2 linked regions of the Oryzias latipes genome follow. The main gene of each other region encodes a partner of the protein of the gene in region 2 in a complex. Links are inferred from orthologs where the notes say so. Each region holds a gene or a part of one and is shown on either strand. Other genes may lie near its edges. The genes, in order: ssrp1 and supt16h.

Region 1 (11,495 bases), on a different chromosome or scaffold from region 2:
GATTGAATTGACTGATCTTTTCTGAAAAAGCCATTGGGAAAATAAATTTCTGTTACAGAATTCAATTCAAAATTCAATCTGACAGCTAAATGGAAACTGGATCATGCTACAGATAAGTAATTCAAAACACAGAAGCAAATCTACAGCAGCATCTAAAGAAAAACAGAATTACAGTGAGCAAATGTTAACTTCTAACCTGAACTTTAGTGTTTCACCTGATCAGTTCAATTACTATAAATGCACAATCTGCATGGTATTGCACAATTATGGTATTGCTGCATGGATCTTTTGTTGACAAATCAATGGACTACCATGTTTTTTAGTCTGCCAGCTACTGTCTATTAGGTATCAGAACAGGGAGACGTCAGCGATAAGTAAGCCTGTACATTCATGTTATGCAATAAAAATATTGCACCAAACTCAATTAGAGTACACTTTTTGTGGGAATTCAAATGTATTAAATCCATCTTTTGATGAAGGGTCAAGCAGAGATGACAGTATCCAAACCTCAATCAAATTGCCAATGGATTTCCAAAATAAAATACTAAAAAATTGCTAAAAGTGCAACATTTTGATATGATTTGTAAATGTGAAAGAAAAACTGTGCTCACACACTAATAAAGAAAAATAAAGATATTTTCTTCACACCGTAATGGAAAATAGAGATCAGTCAGTCTCATTTCAAAAGCTTTAAAGGAAAAACGTAAAGTTGGTTTTGTTTGATAATTTAATTGAATTTAAAATCCTACATAGTTATAATAAGTTTTGGAGGGAAAAGAACTGATTAAAATACGTTTTTGGCCTTAATGTTTGCTTTAAAATGTCTTGATGTTGTGTATTTTAATTCTCTCCAGCCATATCAACTTTTTATCCTTTGAATTGGCATGTAAACCAAGAAATTCCCATGGAGGTGTAAACCAAAAAACTTCCTAAAACACAAAATGTTTAGCATGCGTTGGAATTTTGGATTCCCTCAGCAGTCAGATTGAGCCAGTTTGGGGTTGGAACTACTGTAGGAGCCATCACTTAAGTGATTTAAATTAAAATTTCAACTCAATAGTCCAGGCTTTGACTGGAATTTGAACAGCTAATCCAATAATATCCAGATTCACCAAGAATTCCAGGGGTCTTCAAAGCTGGACATAATAATCCAAAACTCAAAGGTTCCTCTGGTCCTACAAACCTTTTCCATTATTTTTAAATCAGCTGTCTCAGCTCCACTGTTTTAGATTCTGTCCCACAGTCTTGTTCTCTACATACAAATCATCAGAACATCTGTTTCATCTAACTGTAGAGCTCTATACACCACATGTGTGTTGACTAAAATCAACACGTTTTTGCCACTAAATAGAAATGTTTGTCGTGCTTTTCACAGCATGCGCAGCCATCTGCACCTTGATTTGCATAATTGCTGTCATGCAGCTGACATGCTGGAGTTTGAGCAGGAGAACCTGTTGACAGGAGGGAGTCAGCAGAGCCAAACTCATGGGAGCTGGTTTTTTTCTTCAATCATTTTTTTTCTTGAAAGGATTCAGCTACTTTGTACCTGACGGCGATTTAGTCTTCAGTCACAAGTCTTTCCTTCTGAATAAATGTGCTTCTGAAATAATTCATCAACCGAATGATGGGAGGGATAGAGTCCCAGGAGATGTGGACAGACACACACGTGTGTGTGTTGGGGGGGGTTTAGTGGTTGACAATCTGACATTAGAGCACTATTGTGTGCCTGCGTACAGTTACAGGCCAGATTTATGTGGAGTCTGCACTCAATCAAGTATGCATTCCTTTACTAACTCAACACACACACAAGTGTATCCAGACTGTGTGGATCTGTGTATCCACGGGCATCATTCTGTCCCAATCTAAAGCAAACAAACCACTTAAACACACACACTCCAGCACAAATCAACACGCTTTTATCTCATGAGATTGAGGTTTTCATAATCCCTCTAAGGATGGACCTCTCATGGGTGCACTTGCTTTGGAAACATCAGGCGACCCAAGAACAACACGACAGAAAGCGCCTTTATAAACTCAATAAAAGTTATTATTTATCCCCAGATACTCTGTGAGACTATTTCTTGCCATAAAACTCAACAGTCGTCTTTGTTTCCCTCCTCGTCTGTTGTCTGTCTTTCTTCTCACTTTATAAGCCAATCAATGTTTTTCCTTTTCTTCTTTGTTCTCAGACGACCGCAGCCGCTTCATGTTTTATCATCATGTTTGGTTTCAATTCTGTTTTTTTTTTCATCTCTCACACTGCTCAGTAAATTTCTCGGAAACATCAAGCTTCCACATCTGACAAAATCTTTTCTTTCCCTCTGAGTAAATCCACTCAATCTCCTCCCTTGATCGATTTTATCCTTTCTCAATAAAAATTTTCATTTACTTGCACCAAAATAGTTAATATTATTTTAATCAAAATGAAAATTTAACCCCATTTGTACCACGAAATTTTGTTCAAAAGCTTTACTTATCTTCTTTTTTTTGACACACCTCCTTTTTTAATGAGTTTCTCAAACATTTGTTACGTCAACAGGACACTGGGTTAAGCTGACGGAAAAAATTTTTTTTTGTGGAACCACAAATTGTGGATAACCATTAATTCAGATACTTTTGGCCTATTTAACTTTTGTTGGACATAGATTTTTTCATTTTTCTTTGTTATTTAGGTTTTGACAGCAAAATTAACCAGTGTGGTAATATAACATAAAATGTGATGCCAGGTCTTAAAGTCCCACAGCTTTAAATCTATTTTAAAAGCATTCCCGGTCATTTTTTTTTCTATGTTAAAAGGTGTTTCCTTTCATATTTTTTAAAGATTTTTCTGCCGTTAGTGTCACAGAAAGTTTTCTGAATGTGCTTTCCTGATGTACTTCTTTCACCTCTATTTCCAGTTTTTGCAACAACAAAAAAAATGTTCCCTGAAATCTTACACCTGAATTAACAGTAGGTATTACTTAAGCAGAGGGTACAGAACTAAAAAAAAAACAGCATCATAGTCTGGGAACAAGCAGGATATTTTGTAGTCTTGAAGGACAGAGACAGAGGGAAAAGAGGAGGTGGAGGTGGAGGAAGAGGAAAAGGTGGAGGGAAGGGGGAGTTTTCTGAAGCGAGGGGCCATGTTAATTTGGGAAAAATGTAAACAGCATGTGTAACTGTTCAAAGCGTGACCGGCTCATTTTATATCATTCCCCCCTTCGCTCTTCTCTCTCCTCCCCTCCGGGTGCTGCTAACTTCTGTCAATCTGTAGTGCATTAACCCCTCGGCCGCCGCTTCCCTTCTTCCTCTCCATGGACTTTTATCCGTCTTTAAGCTCCCTCATCCTAACTCATCCACGGAGCCCCCACCACTCCGCCCCTCCTCACATCCTCTTGATATATATGTACCATGAAGAATTGAGGATGGCTTGAGAGAATCAAAAGGTTCAGTTTATCCTCCTTCTTCCACATCCCCTCCTCTTCCCTTCTTCCTTTTGTCTCCCCTGATTGGCTGTTGTTTTCATTGACACACCAGGGCTTTCAGGCTTTCTTTGCAAGCTTTTTTGCCCCGTATGTGAGAAAATAAAACTCACATTGTGTATGTACCTGGAGAGATGAATGCTCTGTTTGTGTCAGAGGTGACATGCTGTGCAGCAGCGTATTTGTTTGCTCTGTGTGTCAGAAAGAGCTGCAAAGCGTTTGTATTTATTTTTCTTGTAAAGTTAGACTAAATTTGCAGTGCAAGTCATAGTGTCCCCACCTAAATGGGGTGAAGAGGACCACGGAGGAAGGCTGAAATGTGGGAAGATGTTTTCTGAAATGCCTAATTTCATCACAGAGCCATCCCTCAGTAGACTGTCCTGTCTTTCTTTCACCTCCTTTCCCCACCTTTCCTAGACGAGGAGCAGCAGCCGTGGCGGTCCTCCCAAGAGGGATGAAATTTGTGTGTGTCCTCTCACACCCTGACTAACGTGAATCATATACTTTCTCATATCAGTGACAGATAACGAGACAGGGGCTCCTCAGCTGCTCTGACCTCCAATACCTCCGTCAGGTCTCGCCCCATTTGTTTCCAAGCTATGCCTCATGTTTAACTAAAATCCAATTAGCAAATCTTTTTTATTCGTTGTACAAAATAACTAATTCTCTAGCTAATAATATTTCACTTTTGATTTTATTTTAGAAGAATCAAATCTTAACTTTTAACCTGCAAAGAAATGATTCTCTTTGTACTTGAATAGACTATAATAACGGTTTAAGTAGTTTGGTTAAAACAAGTGAATTTTCTTTTTTTTCTTTTTTTTTATAAAATGTGTCTTTAAATATGCAGCAAAAAAGTAGGCTACAAGACAAAATATTTGATTGGACAAATCATTTTTACGAAACCATTTTAAAATATATACATTTACATGCAAAGCTTGGACAAAGATGTTAAAATTCATTTTAGTTTTCTTTTTAGAGTTTCATTGAATGCACTCACCTCCCTTGAAGCATTTCATCTTATTCCGTTCACAGCTTCCTTGCAGATTGAACAGACAAACTTTTCATCACGTGTTCAGTAAAAACCTGCTCCCTTCTGCTCGGTGGAAGATGGAAAAATGCAGATGATGCTCTGTCTTGATCCTTTATACAATTATTATAACTTTTTAATGAAATAACTTTTCTCGGTTTAAACGCAAAAACGATCCTCTCACTTGTGTGGTCTGTGTGACAGACTGCGGAGCCTTTTTGTACCTCCTCCACCTCCTCCTCTTTTTTTCTTCCTTTTAACTCATTTTCCTGCCCTCCTTTTCATCCCTGTCTCTTCTTCTTTCCTGGTTATTCCTCCTCCTCGGTGCTGGTGAATCACCGGGTTGACGCACCAGAGCGCAACTTTGACAGAGGCGCTGAACCTCGGGACTTGTCACAACTCATTCCTGTCTCTTGTCCCGTCCTCATCCCCACGAACACGTTTTGACTTCAGCTGTTTGATCTTTAATCTACTTCCCGCTAATAAGGTATCGAGTCGGAAAGGATCCTTTTCAGGACAACAAAGGAAAAGGTCCAGGAGTTACGCACACTCAAAAACTTTCAGAGAGAAAATAAAAAATGGAGAATAAATGGGAATAAAAAGATGTTATAATTGTCGTTTTTTAACGAAAAATTAGATAATTACAAACACAGATCATAAATGCGATATTTCGTCATAAAATCGGTGTAGTAAATTGTACAGTAATAAAAAACGGTGAGAAAAAAACTAATATTCATATTAAAAATAAGCGTCAAGATCTGAGAATTGCGTTGTACACCTCGCTAATCTAACTTTTTCATTTTATTTTTTTAACAACCGCGATTTACCTTCAGCAGTCACGGTTTACAAATCCGTGTTTGTGCTAAAACAAAAAAGATGAAATAGTAAAACTCCTCTGACTGAGTCTGGGCCTCATGCGTAAAGTCCCGCGCCGATAAAAAAAAAAAATATATATGTATATAAAAAAAACGTTCGTGTCTGTTTTAATAAAGCGGTCTGGTTAAATTCAGGTGCTAGCTTCTAAATAAAAAAGAGAGAAAAATATAGAGTTAGAGAAAGCACGGGAGTTCAGCCCATAAAACTGTGCTAATGACTGACAAGATTTCTTTGCCAGGGGTCTGTAAACCACACTCCTCTGAGTTAATAGGATGCGTGCCCAGAGGCCGCTTTTGAGAACTAACTTGACTTACCTCGTATGTTTTGCTTGTTTTTTATTTATCTTGTTAACTGCTTTTTATTTATTTTATTAATTTTCCAATCACAATACGGATGCATTAAATAATCTACACTCAAGCGATTGTTATGTCTTGTTTAGTCTTTTACTAGCTGATCTCAACCCCCAATTGTTCGTTAAATGCCATTTTTAACTTCAATTAAAGTTTTAATACCCTAGAATCTATTTTTTAGATCACTTTAAAAGTGTTAACTGTTTTTGAATTGAAAAACCTGTAGTTTTCAATAACCAATTTCCTAGGATGTGTTGTGTGCCACCTAGCGGCAGTAAACAGTCACTGCACTTGACTCTTTCATGAGCACATTCAGTGATAGCCGCAATAACGAACATAAATCATCGATTTATCCGTAATTTTAAACCCTTTTCATTATTTTTTTCAAACAAAAAAAACCACAACTATAAATCAAAACAATGAACCGGAAGTACATTTATAACCCAGCGTTTCCGGTGACGTAACGCTAGCATCTGATGCTACACGCGGGAAACAGGCAAAGCAGCACGAAACAGAGGTAGTAAGATTTTAAGTTATTTATTTGTGTTTCGATGTGAAAGTATAGCTTGTTTTTTAACCATTTGTTATTTTGGTGGTTGTTTCGTGGTAGACAGACTATCACCAAATCGCTAAAGTAACGCTAACGTTGCTTTCTGTAAAAAAAAAAAGAATCGGCCCGTCTCTTTTAGGTACGTTTGATTTAATGACCGCTTTGTCCCTATCGGGCGGCTTTAGGGTACATGCTGGTACACATGGTAACATTTTTGTCTTGACCGAGTGGTGTAACATAAAATTAGCGCACTTTGCATAACTAACGTTAGCTTAGCTGAAGTAAAATGACAGTCTCTGCGAATAATGAAAGCATTCCTTTTCTTTAAAAAATATTTGTGTTACTATTATGTACTGCCCCTTTCAAGAATTATTTCATTTTCTTAATACCCAAATATTCGGTCAGACATAAATGTCTGCACAGTGCAACACTAACTGAAAGCCAAATTTACATTTTTTTAAAATATTAGTTCGTAAAGCAACATTTTCTGATGATCTGATTTTAATGTGTCTGTAAACATCACGTTGAGAACGCATGATATAAATACCACTGGTCTTTATTTTTATTTCAATGCCCTTTAAGTTGTTTTCTGCCTGCAGGCATCATGGGTGATATGCTGGAGTTCAACGAGATTTATCAGGAAGTGAAAGGCTCTTGGGTTTGTATATGTTATTTTTCTGTATCTCCTCAATATTCTGAATTTTTGGACATTTTAGCATAAAATGTTGGTCAAACAAAAATCTAGTTACATAAGAAGCCATATGCTACAGATCATGAAGTGGTCAGTTTGTTCTGTAAACGTTTTTTAACCTAAAAACTATGTTTTTTTGTCCTTTTTCTGACTTTTTGTAGTCTTAAGTGGGTTATGTTGTTTTTCGAGACCTTCTAATTGTGTTTCACCAGAAAAAAAATAAATAAAAAAAACTGCAAGAATTAATGTCTAATCGTTCAGCTTTTTGTCTGAAATTCAGCTCAGTGTTGTTTTTCTTCATCAATATAATCCAAAGGGACCATTATCAGAACATTCCACCACACTTTATGGTCACATGTCTTTGCCAAATTTAAAGTGTTTCCACACTAAAATGACGTCTTAATCATTTTTGGCAACCATCAATATAATCCATTTATTTCATTTCATTCAACGGTATAGGTTGATTCAGATAAGAGAAAATGACCTCAGACAGATCATTCTGGCTGGATTGTAGGATTACACAATGATTTGTCAATTAAGCGTTACACTGGTGAAAAATACATTTGCAGACTATTCTGTTGTTAAGAAAAACATTCTTTTTTATCAGTTCCCAATCTATTAGTAGATTTTGTTCTTTTGATGTTTTTTAAAGCAAATACTTTCTGCATTTTCACAGAGCTTTTTCTTTGTTTTATTGGTCTTTCAGAATGACGGACGGCTACGGTTCAGCAAACAAAATGTGGTTTATAAGAGCAACAAGACGGGGAAGGTGGACAGCATTCCTGCTGGTGAGCTCAACTTAGCGCAGTGGAGGCGAGTGTGCTTAGGTCACGGCATCAAACTCGGCACCAGCACAGGACACGTGTACAAGTATGACGGCTTCAGGGACACGGTAAGTTACCCACGTGCCCACCTAAGTGTTGTTGCTTTTGGATATTTTTATTGCGGTATTGGCTTCTTCTTTTTTTTCCAGTCTCTTAACCTGTTCCTTCTCTTTTTGGGACGTGTGTCAGCTTTTTCCATGTAGAATAGTGGAACATTTCAGCCTGACACATTCCACTGCTATGGTCAACCTTTTGTTTATGGTAAAGAGCATAACACAAGCAGTGGGGCCTCTGATAAGCAACCCCCCCTGCTTGACGTTTCCCCCGAAAAACACTACCATCTTGCGAAAATGCCACCACTGGAGCTCGCATGGGCGTTTGTGCGCATGTGTTCTGTCAGAACTTTGTGAATAAGTCTGCTCCTTTTCTCGAAGCTCCTAATGGGATTAATGAGGGAAACCAGTGCTAGCATATGCGTTCCATAAACAGTGCAATCATCGGCTCTTGTGAGTCAGTGTTTATATCTATCCACCAAAACAATTTGGCCCAGAAAACGAGCAAGAAATAAATGTGGTTGTGGTTGTTTTCTGTCACAGTTTTTTTTTTTTTTTTTACTATGGAGAATGTCAACAAGACTGGGATGAAGAAGAGGGTATAACCGGGACTGTGTGACAGTCTCCTGGGGTTAATCAGTATATTTTTCAGGGGAGATGGATCTTCTCCCCAGGTCCTGATGTCATTGTTTATTATCCCTCTCTTAGTGTCAGTAATCGAGAATTGGCTGAAAGTTGAGGCTGCTGGCGTGCTGAGCAGACACTTTGAATCATCTGCCCCTTTTGAGAAAGTCCAGTGAATTCCTTCCAGACGGGGGGGTCAACCTCCAAGTGTCATCAGTGGGATCCCATGTTTCCTGATCACGTTAAGAGTTCAGTTTTAACCCCCTGACAGGTGGTGTTGTGTGTCGCCTTTGAAAGCAAATCTTTGTTTAGTGAACTTGGATCCAGCAGATCTGATGGATTGTGATCACTCCGACTTGTAATTTTTCTTTAGAACAAGAAAAAACTGAACACTCTGACACTAATACCGTATTTTCCGGACTATAAGTCGCACCGGAGTATAAGTCGCACCAGCCCAAAAATGCATTATAAAGTAGAAAAAACACAGATAAGTCGCACTGGACTATAAGTCGCATTTTAACTTTCACAACCTTAAATGACACAATCATAGCAGACTGTTTATCTAATAATTTCACAGTAATTCTTTCTCTTACTTAATTATTTATTCCTTTCATGAAGCATCATTGGCCAACTAATACTCTGTTTTCATCCTGTATTTGTAGAAACAGTTTTCACTTTTATTGCATTTCTGAATCTATGAAATCATTGGAAAATAGAATATTATGTTGTTAGCCTTCAAGATCTTACTGTAAAAAAAAGTTTGCTGATTCTCTGAGTCACTTAACATCCTCTTAACACTTAACATACCTCATACATCAAATTGACCCAGAAACATCATCTCTGTTCCTCACAAATGAACATAACAGGAGGGTTAACAATGTATTTATTTCAATTTATTTCTAATATAAGTCGCTGCGGAGTATAAGTCGCACCCCTTGCCAAACTATGAAAAAAGGGCGACTTATAGTCCGGAAAATACGGTATTTGTCACAAACACAATTGTGGAGTTTGTTGTTAGATTACTTAAGTATCAGGAAGTGGAAAGTAGAGTTTTTGCATAATTTTCTTCAAACTTTTAAAGAAGCAAAGTCATGTTATTTATAAACCAGAGTTCAATATGTGATTATTCATTTTGTAGGGAATTTTGTCCTGTTACAACCTGTAACCTTTATCCTTTTTTTTTCTGAGTTTAAATGTGCTCGGCTATGACACAGACGTTGGTCATCATGCTGCATGAGTGTGCGTGTGTTTGTGGGTGTGTGTGTGTGTGTGTGTGTGATGAAGGTGGGCTGAGTGTTTATTTGTATTAGCTGAGTTATGCAACAACAGTGAACAAGCGCTGATTTTTATGCAGCTACGCATCCGCTCCCACATGCTCTGTATCTAAACAGCTCTTTAATCCAGGTCAACAAACATGCTGATGAACTTCAGCACAGACACACACACACACACACACACACACACACACACACACACACACACTCTAATACAGTCATGCTGCCTCTAATTGGCTATAATAACCTTATGGACAAGCAGATATCCAGGTGTGTAAATTTGCTTTCCCACCGAGTCTGGTTCTTCCATGCACATGCAATTACTTCCACATGTGTTTGTACTACTGGAAGTGTGTGTGTGTATGTGTGTGTGTGTCTGTGTGTCACTGCTTTGTCGCTGTGTGCGAGTCCTTTGCAAGTTGTAAGCGGGCCTGAAGGATAAATAAACAGACTGATTGTCAGTTCTGGTTTGGAGTTGGGGCTGCACAGGGAAAGCGGGTGGATTACATTAACATCTTTTGCTCCTTTGTGTGATTAATAAACCACATCCTTCTTCCTACTTGGTGTTTTTTTATAAGCCGCGGCTCATGAAGAGTTTCTCCTTTTACTATCTTCCCCTTCTTCCCCCTCTTTAACACTTTCTATCATCACTACCTCAGTTCATGTGGCCTTTCATTCTTTGAACTCCCACCAGGATTTCGAGAAGCTCTCTGAGTTTTTTAAGGCCAACTACAAGATGGAGCTGGCAGAGAAGGACATGTGTGTGAAGGGCTGGAACTGGGGGACAGCAAAGTTCTCAGGTGACTTTTGGCCACAATCCCTGTTTTAAGATGCCTGTTTCATCCATGCTAAAGTATGAGGCAGTTACTGGCACAGGACGGCCACTTTGATCAATTCCATTCATTTAAACAGACTTATCAGATAAATATCAGTTCAATAATGTTTATTGTTGTTGAGATAATCGATATTGAGCGTCCACTGATGCATGGCAGCGTCTGTCTTCTCTCTCATCTCTCCTCAGGTCCGCTGCTGTCATTTGACGTCAACGACAACACAGCGTTCGAAATCCCCCTCTCCAATGTTTCCCAGTGTGCAACGGGAAAAAATGAAGTCACCCTGGAGTTTCACCAGAATGACGACACAGAGGTCTCCCTGATGGAAGTCCGATTTTACGTCCCCCCCAGCCAGGCCGATGAGCGACAAGAGTCTGTGGAGGTGAGCAGTCGGCTTCCAAATACTGGTCTCCGTGCAGAAACGCTCTTTATGAAGTGTTTGTGTTGTCAGTGTGATTGTGTCATTTGCAGAGGTTTGTTTTTTTCCTGTAGGCTTTTGCTCAGAATGTCCTGTCCAAGGCTGACGTCATCCAAGCCACAGGAGATGCTGTGTGCATCTTCAAGGAGCTGCAGTGTCTTACTCCCAGAGGAAGGTCAAATATCATATCCTATTGTCTGAAAAGCCGTCTTTCAACTCGTATTTATATCAGGTCCACCCATTCTCCAATCCATGCATTAGTGTGCGCTAGGGGTGCAACGTACGGATCACAAGCCACGGTTCGGCACACACGGGGACCAAAAATCACCCTCCTCTTGCACACTTCACATGTGCATCATTTACATGAACTGTCCGTTCACACCGAACGCAATTTGTGCACCAAATTCATGAACGCCGTCTTTGTTTTAACGTGCGTCAAAGTTGCTGCTTGAGGTTTTTCCAAAAATGTGTTAACCTGCAACTCCTGCCGCACTTTTCTCGACCTCATCAC
Region 2 (11,415 bases):
TGATCACCTGGAAGCAGAATTAAATCTGTTCTTGTGTTTTCCCTGCATGTTTGAATTAAAGTTAGATGACAATAAAGACAAGTTCACACCATTTAGAAATTACATTTATGCACTTTCATTTTCTTCTATAAAAATTCAGATGGTATTTCTGTACAAAATGGTGTTCTACTTTGACCGCTGACTCAAAACTTAGATTCGGCCTCAGTGTGGAGGTATTGCAGTTATTTCAGGTCTGATCAAAACAGAGTAACATGAACCGTGCAGAAGGCATGTTCCTTCTGAAACTAGAAATAGTTCTCTTTTAAAACTTGAAGGCTTTTGCTTTAACTTTCAGTTTAGTTTGTAGTATAAATGCTATTTCTCATCTTAAAAAAAGAAAAGAAAAAGAAAATGGTTGCTTCGTGCTCCTTCAGAGAATTTGTTATGTTTAAAGTATGATAGGAAATAGATATTTAAATCCAAACAACCTGCTGATGATTACACATTTGTCTTATATTTGTCAAATTTGACCAATAGAGTTATTAGGATTATATAGTGATATATAGTTATTGCCTGATAGAAAAAAACCTAGATTGTGATACAAAAAATTCCACATCGTCCAGTTTTACCCAAGGTTTTTGGTCAGCTTGGACACCAGGTCAGGCTTCTCCTTCTTCACAAACTCTAGAACGGCGTTGTAGGCGTCGCAGATCTTTACGCCTGCAGGAGAAGGACAGAAATGTCACCATCACACAATCTAAACCAACACAACTCTACTGCTGACCTCTAACCCCAAATCAGGATGTCTAAAAAGAAAAAAAAAAAAAAGGAAATCTTCTGATGGAGATTCAAGATGACTCCTAAATCATGACTTCAGTCAACACGGCTTTTTATGCAATTTGGATTATGATCTAAATATTGTCACTTTAGCCTCTTCAGGCTTTTAAAGGACAGGAGGCTCTGCAGAAAAAGCCGTCCTGTCAGATAAACAGATTATATCCAGGCTCTGGTGAGTCGAATCGATTCTGGAATTCTTGGTGATTCCCAGCCCTAGTCAGAAACCCTGATCCTCGTGAGCTACTGCCCTGCAGCCAATCCTGCTTCAGTAATGGACCCGGTTCCCCCGATCCAGCTAATCAGCCATTACTGAAGCAGGATTAGGAACAGGGTTGGAGAGCACAGGAACTTTAGATGAAAGGACTGCAAGTCTTTTCTAGTCGTTACATCTCTATGCAGGTGTTACTGCATCTTTATCTGCTATCTTCTTCCTTTCCATCTATTGCAGCTGTAGGCAGCAAAACTTTAGGTGGAAAAAATTAAGATTTGTTGTTAAATCATTAAAAGCAACACTAACATTTATGTTTTGTTTACTGCTGAAGTGAACCAGGCAGTTGACAGAAAAATGTTTGAGTCTGACATTCAAGCGACATATCGTTCCTTTCTTTGAAAATCTTTGTGTTTTTATCTGTTCTGTTTATCTGGTATTAAATACATTTTAATTTCCATGCATCCAGGAAAAAAGAGATTGATATACCAACCATTCAGACATAATAAATTACATCTAAATAGTAAAAATGATGGAACGATTCACAAAACGTTTGTAACTGTTCTAAAAGATCTGCACACACACACAAACGCAAAAAGGATTTTTGTTTGGAATGTTTTCTAAACTAAAATTCAGAGGAAGGACAGTTCCTTCGATCATCTTTAAATGTTTCGACTAATAGACTGAAGTCCACCTGACCACAAGACTTTACAAGAAAACGTCCACCAGAACCTAAAGTTCCCACAGTCACAGGCAGCTCATGAACGCACCGTGCTTCAGCTCCTTCAGCAGCTCCTCCTCCACCTGAACCAGGAAGTTGTAGTTGTCCTGCATCTCCTGGGACGGGTCCACCATCAGGGTCCGAACTAGGTTGGAGCAGTAGGACTTGTAGCGGATGCCCATGGCACACGTGATGGCACCAAAGTGCATGTGGTTCTTATCACTGAGACGACGGTATCAGAAAATAAAGAAAGAAATAAGTCAGCCAGTGCGCTTTATGAGGAGCCACAAATCAGGAGGATTTCTTTTTAGCCATTTTACTTTTGGATATCCAGGTCTGAACACTTTAAACATCAACCAGAACTGACTCACTGCGACCTATATGGTTGAAATAAAACACATTTTATTTAAAAGTGATTAAAGCTGTGACGGAACAAAGAAACAGCTCCTTCCTTTGAGGTACAGTGCCACCTGGTGGTGACAAGCACAAACTGCACCAAGAAGAAGCTCCTTTGAAAAACATGCTGAAGTTGAACACTCTCTTCAAACAGGAACCCTCTCCAGGCCTGATGTTGAGCTAACAGTCCTCACACAGACCTCCTCAAACCAAAAAATTCCCTCTATCACATTAAGGGATTCTGGAAAATTCTTCAGAGCTGGAGCTTCCTTGAGCTTTCTGATCAAACCTCTGACTTTTGAGTGATGAGCTGCTGTCAGAAAAGAGTTTCTACGGGACTTTGTGCCAGAGCCATCACTCACCTGACCACGCTAAACTTCAGACTGTAGTTGCCCCCACTCTGGATGATGGGGGGGTAGCACATCTCCACTGTGGACGGGTCTGCACCGCCCAGGTACTTCTTCTCCTCGATGGCCTTCTCCACCGACTCAGCCAGCTTGCTGTGACGCACTTTCTGTTGAGGAACAGATGCATTCAAACAGGGAAAGCCAGCACAGCGCCCGTCTCAGGACCACCAAAGCCGCAGTCCGTGGGTTTACGAAGAGAAAGAAGATCTGATGTTCCCGTATGTTGACCTGCAGAGATCTCCGTTTGCCCCGCTCCTCTCACCTCGTCGGCATCAACGATCTCCATGACGCGCTCCTTGAAGAACTTGGAGTAAACCTCGCTGGTGATGGCGGCTGCTTTCTTCATCAGACCCAGCTCCCCGTCCTCCTTCACCGCCATGGTGTAGGCCACCACGGCACTGATATCCACCTGCACCCACGTGGCAGCGGCGTGATCACAGAGGCGTGAACAGAGGAAGCTGGCCTGGGCATCTGCTCGCGTGCCCCCTTACCTTCTCCAGACCCTCAGCGTTGAGCGCGTCGCCCCAGCTCTTCATGTAGTCTCCAGGAAACTTGTCCTTGCTGAAGATTCCCACCGTCTTCCCCTCTCTGCTGCCCTTGATCGCCTCAATCATCTTATCAAAGTTGGCTTTGTTGCTTTCATTCTGAAAGGCGAAAGGTCAAAGCTGGTGAACAAATCTTTGCTTCAAAGTCTGACAGCTCTACATGAAAAACTCCCCGACTCACCTTCTCTCTAGTGAGCAAAGTGATGGGCGGGGCTCCATTGGCGTTCTCGTTGCCTTTGGTTACAGCCACCTGTTTGAGGAAGTCCACCTTCTTCTTGCTGGCCAGGAAGATGATTTTGGTGTCACAAAACACCATGATGGTGTCCGTGAGCTCGTAGCCAAACAGCCAAGTCTGAGGGCCAAAAGCATGCCGGTCAGCTGAAAATACGGCGGCCCGTCTCTGGCCTCCCCTCAGACCCTGGAAGCTCACCTGTATGGCGGTGGATTTGGCGTACACGATCTCCTCATCGACCCCCACAGAAACTACGATGGCATCAATTTTACCAAACTCATCCTCTCCTTTCTAGAATGTACACAAAGACACACATTCATTGGAATTACGGTCAGGCTAAGCCAAAAAAAAAAAAAAAAAAAAAAAAAAGACTTTTTTCCCACTAAATGTGATTTCCAATGTTAACTGTCTTTTTTTTTTTTTCCTCCTTTCTCAGTATACTTTTTTACAAAAATGACAAACTACATCTAAAAAAAACTATCACTTTAACATCTCCTTTGAGAGTTCACCTGCTTCAGGTGTAAAAAACTAATTCGCTGTTGTTCTACCTTTGTTAGCAACAGTTTTCACACATTTTTTGCATCATGCAATTTGTTGCTCCAAGTCTGAAGTCACAAAATTGAACGAGTTCCATTTAACTGTCTTTTTCAGAGTAGAAGTCACAGTGAACTAGCACTCAGGAGAGACTTGTGTGATTTTTTTTTAACATGAACAGGCTCATATGTGTTATTTTCCCACCAACAACCAGTTGCTCTTCAGCGGTTGTTGCTGCTAGAAGGCACTGTAAGTGTATGCATCGGTATTTGTGACTGACAGCAACAGAGATGAATGAAGCAGCGTCTTTAAGAACAAAAAATGGAGGAGAATCTGATCGTCGTCTTCCTGAGCTTTGTGATATTTTTCTTACTTGCATCTAGACATTATTATTGTTTTTCATTTTTCCTTCCTCCGACTAATGCGGGACAGCAAGTCATCAAACTGGGTTACAGAGACGAGGAAGTACAGCTGAAAGCGCCATCATTCACACGCAGTGGAAAAAAAAGATTGCTAGACATTTTTTTTTTTAAAGGACTGAAAGGTCTTATGAACCCAGCCATGGAGATGTGTTTACTGAAGCTTTTGTAGAACTCTTCAAAATATCTCTTGTCGTTTCATTTCATTGTGAAAGAGTTATCCGGTCAATGCTTCTATGTAGCGATGAGGCTAAAAACTTGACAGTAGCTTCTACCACACGTGAAAGCGCCTCCAGCCGATGAACACATTTTTGGACAAGCATTGAGCATCTGCTTTGGCAGCAAACACAGATGTGACGCATGAATCGGGTTTGGTGTGAATGCAGTATTACGCCGGGGTTGGCAGAGTTGTTCTACAAACATATTCCGGAGCGATTTATATGTGGGGGGGTTTCCCCCCTTCTTTTCTATGCATTTTTTTTTTGCTGATGCGACTTGTGCTCCGGAAAAACGTATAGTCGGATAAATAAATAACTGGGGAAAAAACAGATCTGCTATTTTCATGTCTGCGCATAGCGAGAAATGGGCAGGCTGACCTTACTCTGAACAACAGAAGTCCAAGAGAGCTGTGAAAATAAAATCCAGATTTATCAATATACACACAACAAATTCAAATGTATCGATGAGATTGATTAAATAACCCAGCCCTCCACTCAGGTTTGGTGTGCATTCACCTTCTACTCCTCCTTTTTCAGGGATCTGACTAGACTAAGAGGCGTTATAACCTCAGCTCGGAACTTTCTGCCCTGAAATAAATGCATCTTTAGGTTCCCTGGATGATTCATAAAAGTACTACTGTGTTAATTAAAAACACAAACTTGGAAATGTGTTATGCATTCTTTAACATTTTAATCATGAACAATGGCTTTTGGAATCTCTCAGTCTTTAATGAGGCAAATAAAACACTTTCAGCTGCCCTCCATTGGAGTTCTGCTCCTTTACAAGGTTGGGTCAACAAAAAACTTTATTGAAATGAACACACTCTAAGGCATGATTAGACATTAGAGGAAAGCCATTCATGCAAGTTTGTGGCTTCCTCCCACAGTTTAGACACACGACTGGCCTAAATCAGAGTTTGGGTCTTGTGGTTCTGGGACTGATTGTGGGGGGGGGGGGGGGGGGGGGGTGCTGTGCTTGTCTTTGCAAGGGGCCACAGAGACCCTGATCAGGATGAAGCAGGGGTTGATGATGAATGGAAGACAATCTAATCCTGAGTTTGTGAAACAAATAGATCTAGGGGTTTGGTTGTGATGTTTGACCTTAAACTCCTCACAGCACAAGGGGCTTCTATCAGTAACTTAGTAACCTGTTACTCTACCCGAACCATAACCTAAAGTTTTCAGGTGAAAAAAGGCAGCATATATGAAGCTGAAACTTTGGTCTGGGATAAAAGTTCATCTGTAAGAATTGAGTTTCCAAACCCGCACATGCCGCAGAAACGAGTCCCATGCTGGCGCCGCGCGCTTCACATGGAGCCGGGATGCTGATGCTGTGATGCTAATTGTTAGCATCCTAGATTAGCATGTAGCGCTGGGACAAAGTGCAAACCGGCAGCAGCTGAACTTTAGCTTCAACTCACTCAGCCCTGTGATCGGTAGAACTTTATCGGAACCATTTCATTGAAATGTGTGTGTCCATTTCGATGAAGAGCGGCCATAAGCCGTCGTACTCCGTTAGCTGGTTGGTGAAGTTAACAAGTTAGCAGACTAGCTAACCCACTGACTGAATGAGAGGACCGCAGTGCTAACATGAGGCAGTCGCATGCGGGACCGAGGATCCCTGCGGGTATCTTACCAATGTGTCCTAAAAGATTCGCAAAACAAACACCGACCCGTAACTGCACGGTCTGGAGAACATCAGCGTTCGCACCCTCAACGCTCCGCTGGGTCCGGTGTGAACCCGCGGCTAACTCTCTCTGGGCTCCCACAGCGGCTTCATCATGTCTTCTGCTCAAAAATTACCTCTAACCGGGTTCTGCAGCACACCGACCCGCTCCGGGCCGAGCGCGGCTCACCTTCCAGTTGCTGTATAGCCTTTTGATGCGGCGGTAGTACGCTTCCTTGTCCAGGTTAACCGCCATGGCGAGCGCTCTGCTGCGAACTCCAGCTCCCGGCTTGGCCTCCCCAGCAGGCCGGATGAGGATGATGATGATGGTGAGCTAACAACAACGCACTTTCCTTCCACGCCTGCCGAGGTCCGAACGGCACTGACTGCAGATGCGCTCGGCTTTATAAGAACCGCAACCTTCTAGCTACGCGCTCATGCAAGAACCAGCGACGGGTTAAGAAAATGATCAAAATTACTCAAATTCAAACTGTTCATCTACCACTGTTTTCATACACCAATCAGTTATAATTAGACGCTCACCCCTCCCTCTCTACAGTCCGAGCCTTTTCCCTCCCCCTCTGTGCATATTCATCATTGAGATCAGTATACTTATCCACTAAATCTCCATGGTAACCATTGAATAAAAGTGTAAAGTAAGCCTAACAGAATTCAAAATAAAACTGCCATTTTTATTTTACTTCAACGCGTTTAATACATTTATTTTATTCATAATGACGTATTTTGTTGTAAACCGCAGTGTCGCCACAGCGCCCCCTGCCGTGTGTTGACTATCAATCTTTCCCGCCACGAAGGACCTTTCCCGCCACCATCTTCGAAAGGTTCTGCTGACGTAAATCTCGCGATACCACGTCCACTTGGCAGCCTCCAAGATTTGCGGGGGAAATTCAACAAGTTTTTTTTATTGAATCATTGTAAAATGTTAAAATCAAGACGTCTCCATCTTCAGAAAAACACTATCATGTCATGTTGAAACAACAGTAAAGGAACACATAGAGCACATCAAAACTCTGAACTCTTACATGAAATCAATTAAATGAAAAAATAAAATAAATAAAACAAAAGTTGTGAGGGGTTTAATCTAAGAGTTTAAACAATTGTAGCATATAGTAGCATATTGGATTTTTTTTCTTCTCCTTGCGGTGTTGGTATCTTGGTTATAACTTATATAACCGATTTATATGGGGTTTCATCTTAAAGAGTTTGCAGTTGTGGAAAAATTATTTTGTGGTTCAAATCAATCCTTTGATCATGAAGTCTTAATTTTTATTACTCAAGTACATTTTATTTCTAACAGAATTTCAATTTAAACAGTCTATTGTAATATTTTCACCTGTCAACCAATTATGAAAAAAAAAGTTTTTTTTAAAAAAAGCCTTGCAAAAAATAGACAAGGGTGAAAATCTAAATGCTGTTGAAGTTAATTTTTTTTTAATAAAGGTTAATAAATTAACATTAAAGCTTAGAATCAAACCATTGACTGTAAATGAGAACTGGATCAAGTGAGTGTGATATCACCCATAGAACATGACTTGCTTCTGTTTCCAATGAATTAAGGCTCATTCGGCTGCTAATTTTTTGATATACGGCTGTCGTGATGTTGGAACCAGACAATCGGTAAGCAGCGATTGGTCAAGTTGGCCTAAGTTTACATTTCTATGCTGACCCATACAGTCAATGAATCAAACTAAATTGGTTCTTGATCTGCAATCATGAGGTCAAAATGTATATTACAACATAAAATATTTTATTTCATGATTAAAAACATTTCCATGATATGTACAATAAATCAGACCAATAACTGCATCAATAAGTCTCATTGGGAAGTTTTATTTTTTCAAAGCATTTAGTCTCTGTTGGACTACTTTCACAGCCAAACGCGATTGATGTTTGCAAAGAAAACAACTGTTTTTCCCTCATGGTAAGTAGTGTTGTCAGAGCTGACCTCTTTTAATTTAAATTTACCTCTTCAAAAAAAAGACCTTTGAGCACAAATCTCCCCTTAAAAGCAAACTTGGCATGAAATTTAAAAAGGGATTCATGAGAACAGAAAGGTTAGCACCTGTTAGAATCTTCATGAAGCCGAGCTGGACTTTTGTCCTCCTCGCTCTCTTTCAGCTTCTAGGGCTTTGTGCAGTTGTTGGTCTTTTCTCATCAACACAAACACAGCCACCCAAACAACACAACTCTTCACATTGATTAGTTCTCATAGTAACAGTAAAGGGAAGATTATACACACAAAGTTGAGTTTTTAAAGCACCTAAAAATAAAGAATTCATCCACAACAATATTTTCTTTTTTTTTGCAAAACAATTAAAAACACCAGAAGTTCATAATTTGTTGAGTCTGAAGTTGAAATGATCAGTGGCCATCATCATAATTGCAGTGTTTGAAACCAAAGAGTTTCTGCAGAAAAGAGGTGGTGAAGATCTTCTGCTCAGCGTTTGTCCCCGCGCTGACAGGACGACGGGAGTCAGCTGTCGGGTGCCCCTGAGTCGGACTCTGTCTGTGCTCGGCTGTCAGGTTTGTCCTGGTCCTATGTGACGGTGGTGGAGCTCTGCCCGCGGATAGCACACCAGGCCATGAACACGTCTCTGCAGAGCCGCCAGGAGAAGATGAGAAAAGAAAACGTGTGACGTTTGAGTGTCTTACAGAACCCAGAAAAGCAATTCACCAAAGTAGCATAAGGAGATTCAGGATAAGCTCAAGATGCTGACTTGATCTAGAATCTTTACAACCTTTTGAATTATTATTATTATTTTAAACATTTTGATTTTAAAAGTAAAGATATGTGTGTGTGTATGTGTGTGTGTGTGTGTGGGGGGGGGTGTCAGCTACAAATTCTGCAAGTTTTTCCACTTTAAAAATTGAAATTAGTCTGTAATGTTCATCATAGAAACGCTTAATCTGTGACAATCCAGGAAATCCCATTATAGGATTTAGAAATTATTTCTTTGTATAATGTTGCAGGAGATAAGTATTTGGTCAACAGCAAAAGTTTACCTCAATTCTTTGTGATGTAACCCTGGTTGTCAATAGCTGCGTATCCATTGACTATTAAATTGCGCAAATTGGATTTGCGATAATAAGGAGCTCTCCGCTCCATGGCTGGAATGAGACGCAGACGTCTCCTTTGACAGGTGAAGATGAGCGCTAGAGATGGCAGAAATTTGAATGCATCTGCTGTCAAATTATCATTTTATTAGTTGAAATATTGTTCACATCCATCGCCATGTTTTTGAATGACTTATCGATTAAGTTGGTTTGTGTTTATTCCCATAATTATAATTTAATGGAAACAATCTGACTGTGAAATCTTGTTTTTTCAATATTTTTATAATTTTGAAAAGGGTTTGCACATATGTGTAATTGAAAAACAGAGACAATGACAGAGGTCAAAGGTTTCCTGTAGGTCTATTAAAAAGATTGACATTGTAGCTGCTATTCTGGTCCATTCTTCCATTCAGATCTTCTCAAGAGCTGTCATATCTTGGGGCTGTAGCTGGACAAGTTTTTTCGCAGCGGAACATGAACAAACCCCCTTCGGGACCGCATATCCGCGGGTCTTACGTTCCTAACATTGACCTAATCCTAACTTTGACATTTGAAGACGTAATAATTGTTGTTAAAAGTGGTTTTAACGTCTCAAAAGAATGGTAAAGCCACCCAGACGTTGACGCATTTTGCAGTACGGATTGGATACCCACACCTGCCTTTCTCTGCAACCGTGATCAGATTTGTTGAAGAAAGGAGAAAAGCCTGTGTTGTGGAATTAGTGTGTGCGTGTTTATGAGATGACGCTTGCGTGCTGCAGGAAAGAGGGGGGAAGAGCGCAAGATTGAGAATGATTATGTTATCCTGGAAATTATCCTGCTCTGGATCAGATTAGATGGATCAAACCTTTACATTGACTTGATTCAGGCTCTTATTCTATGTGTGTGCAGCTAAACCTGATCTAAATGGAGCTGACATGGTTTTGATGTTGGAAAACGGGAAGATGATTTCGGGTTTGACTGATTGGGATTTTGTGCAAACATCTTGTTTTCTGTGAACAAACCTGCAGTGGGTGGCCACACACTCGTTGCTGCAGTACTCCCGGTCCCAGTCTTTACTCTCCACCGCGGGGTTTGTGCAGCCCGCTCGAACGCAGATGTTTGGACTGGAGGTGGAGGTTATGCTGGGGGCGGGGGCCACGCTCACCTCCACCTCCATCTGAGGGTGAGGAGAAACAGAGTTGGGATGATGTGTGTCAACCTACAGCCAGAATCCTTTCAGACACTTGTTGGACCCACCCCCTCCTCTGGTTCTGCCACGTCCTCCCCTCTTGTCAGCATGGCGCCGCTCTGTCCCACCTGCACCACCATGCCCGAGGGAGACGCTGCCCCCTCACCCACTGACGTCACTGCGATTGCAGAGTCCGACTGCCGGGACGAAGGAATGACCTTAAATTGTAGTGGGGGTGGGGCAGTGGTGGCAGCTGTGCCCCCGCCCCGTGGTTTGGGCTGCAGAGGCGGAGGGGCCTGGGCGTGTACCATCTGCTGCAGCCGTGGAGGGGGCGGGGTGTTCTGCCTGTGCTGCAGCGGCGGTGGCTGGCGGGACGACGGGGCAGCAGTGGCAGTGACAGACACTCCCCCGGAGGGCAGCGGCGTCTGCTTAATGATGATCTTTGTGACAGTGGGGGGGTTGGGCGTGGTGCTGGGGGGTGGGGCCTGGGGCTTGATGGCACCGGTGCGGGAGCGCGTGGTGACCTGCGGCAGGTCCAGGATGATGTTGGAGGTGCAGATGTTGGTGATGGTGTTCTCTTCTGGGTTGTAGTGCTGTGACCTGGGGGCACGGGGGGCTGGAGGTGTGGCAGGTGCAGCGGGGACTGCAGGAGCAGCGACGGGGACAGGGGCTGGAGGTGGGGGCGATGGAGCGGTGTCCATGACTTCTATGGGGGCCTGAGGAGAGCAGATTAGTCAGTTGTGAGACTCATCTGAGCGCAGATGACAGCAACATTAAAAACACATGCCAAAAGGGGTCTGGCCCCCCAGTACCCAAAGGAGAAACAAACACCGGTCTGTTTCAGTAAAAGGTTTTTGCTTCAGGAACAGAAGTATGAAAAACTTGTCGCTTCTAAAAGAATCAGCTGTTCTGCTGGGCACACACAAAAAATTAAAAATGTTTGTTTTATGAACGAAGGCTTTCTTTAAAGATTCACTCAAATAAAATTATGGTTTTGTTGTTTTTAAC

Evidence for each region.
Region 1: supt16h (region 2) and ssrp1 share a complex: the UniProt entries of both Homo sapiens proteins name them as parts of the FACT complex. The link is inferred for Oryzias latipes from reciprocal best matches to the Homo sapiens genes SUPT16H and SSRP1.

The regions. Positions count from the first base shown.
Region 1 is NC_019868.2:14,001,885-14,013,379, reverse strand, and holds the start of ssrp1 (FACT complex subunit SSRP1), read left to right. Parts: upstream 1-6,142; 5' UTR 6,143-6,234; intron 6,235-6,866; 5' UTR 6,867-6,871; coding exon 6,872-6,925; intron 6,926-7,664; coding exon 7,665-7,850; intron 7,851-10,427; coding exon 10,428-10,533; intron 10,534-10,754; coding exon 10,755-10,948; intron 10,949-11,058; coding exon 11,059-11,159; intron 11,160-11,495. Other genes in the region: clcf1 (cardiotrophin-like cytokine factor 1), read right to left, coding at 4,462-4,480. UniProt on the Homo sapiens protein: Component of the FACT complex, a general chromatin factor that acts to reorganize nucleosomes. The FACT complex is involved in multiple processes that require DNA as a template such as mRNA elongation, DNA replication and DNA repair.
Region 2 is NC_019876.2:21,322,701-21,334,115, forward strand, and holds the start of supt16h (FACT complex subunit SPT16), read right to left. Parts: upstream 6,713-11,415; 5' UTR 6,419-6,712; coding exon 6,353-6,418; intron 3,617-6,352; coding exon 3,524-3,616; intron 3,446-3,523; coding exon 3,275-3,445; intron 3,193-3,274; coding exon 3,040-3,192; intron 2,958-3,039; coding exon 2,811-2,957; intron 2,656-2,810; coding exon 2,504-2,655; intron 1,968-2,503; coding exon 1,795-1,967; intron 700-1,794; coding exon 609-699; intron 1-608. Other genes in the region: tox4 (TOX high mobility group box family member 4), read right to left, coding at 8,720-8,777, 10,241-10,395, 10,476-11,123. UniProt on the Homo sapiens protein: Component of the FACT complex, a general chromatin factor that acts to reorganize nucleosomes. The FACT complex is involved in multiple processes that require DNA as a template such as mRNA elongation, DNA replication and DNA repair.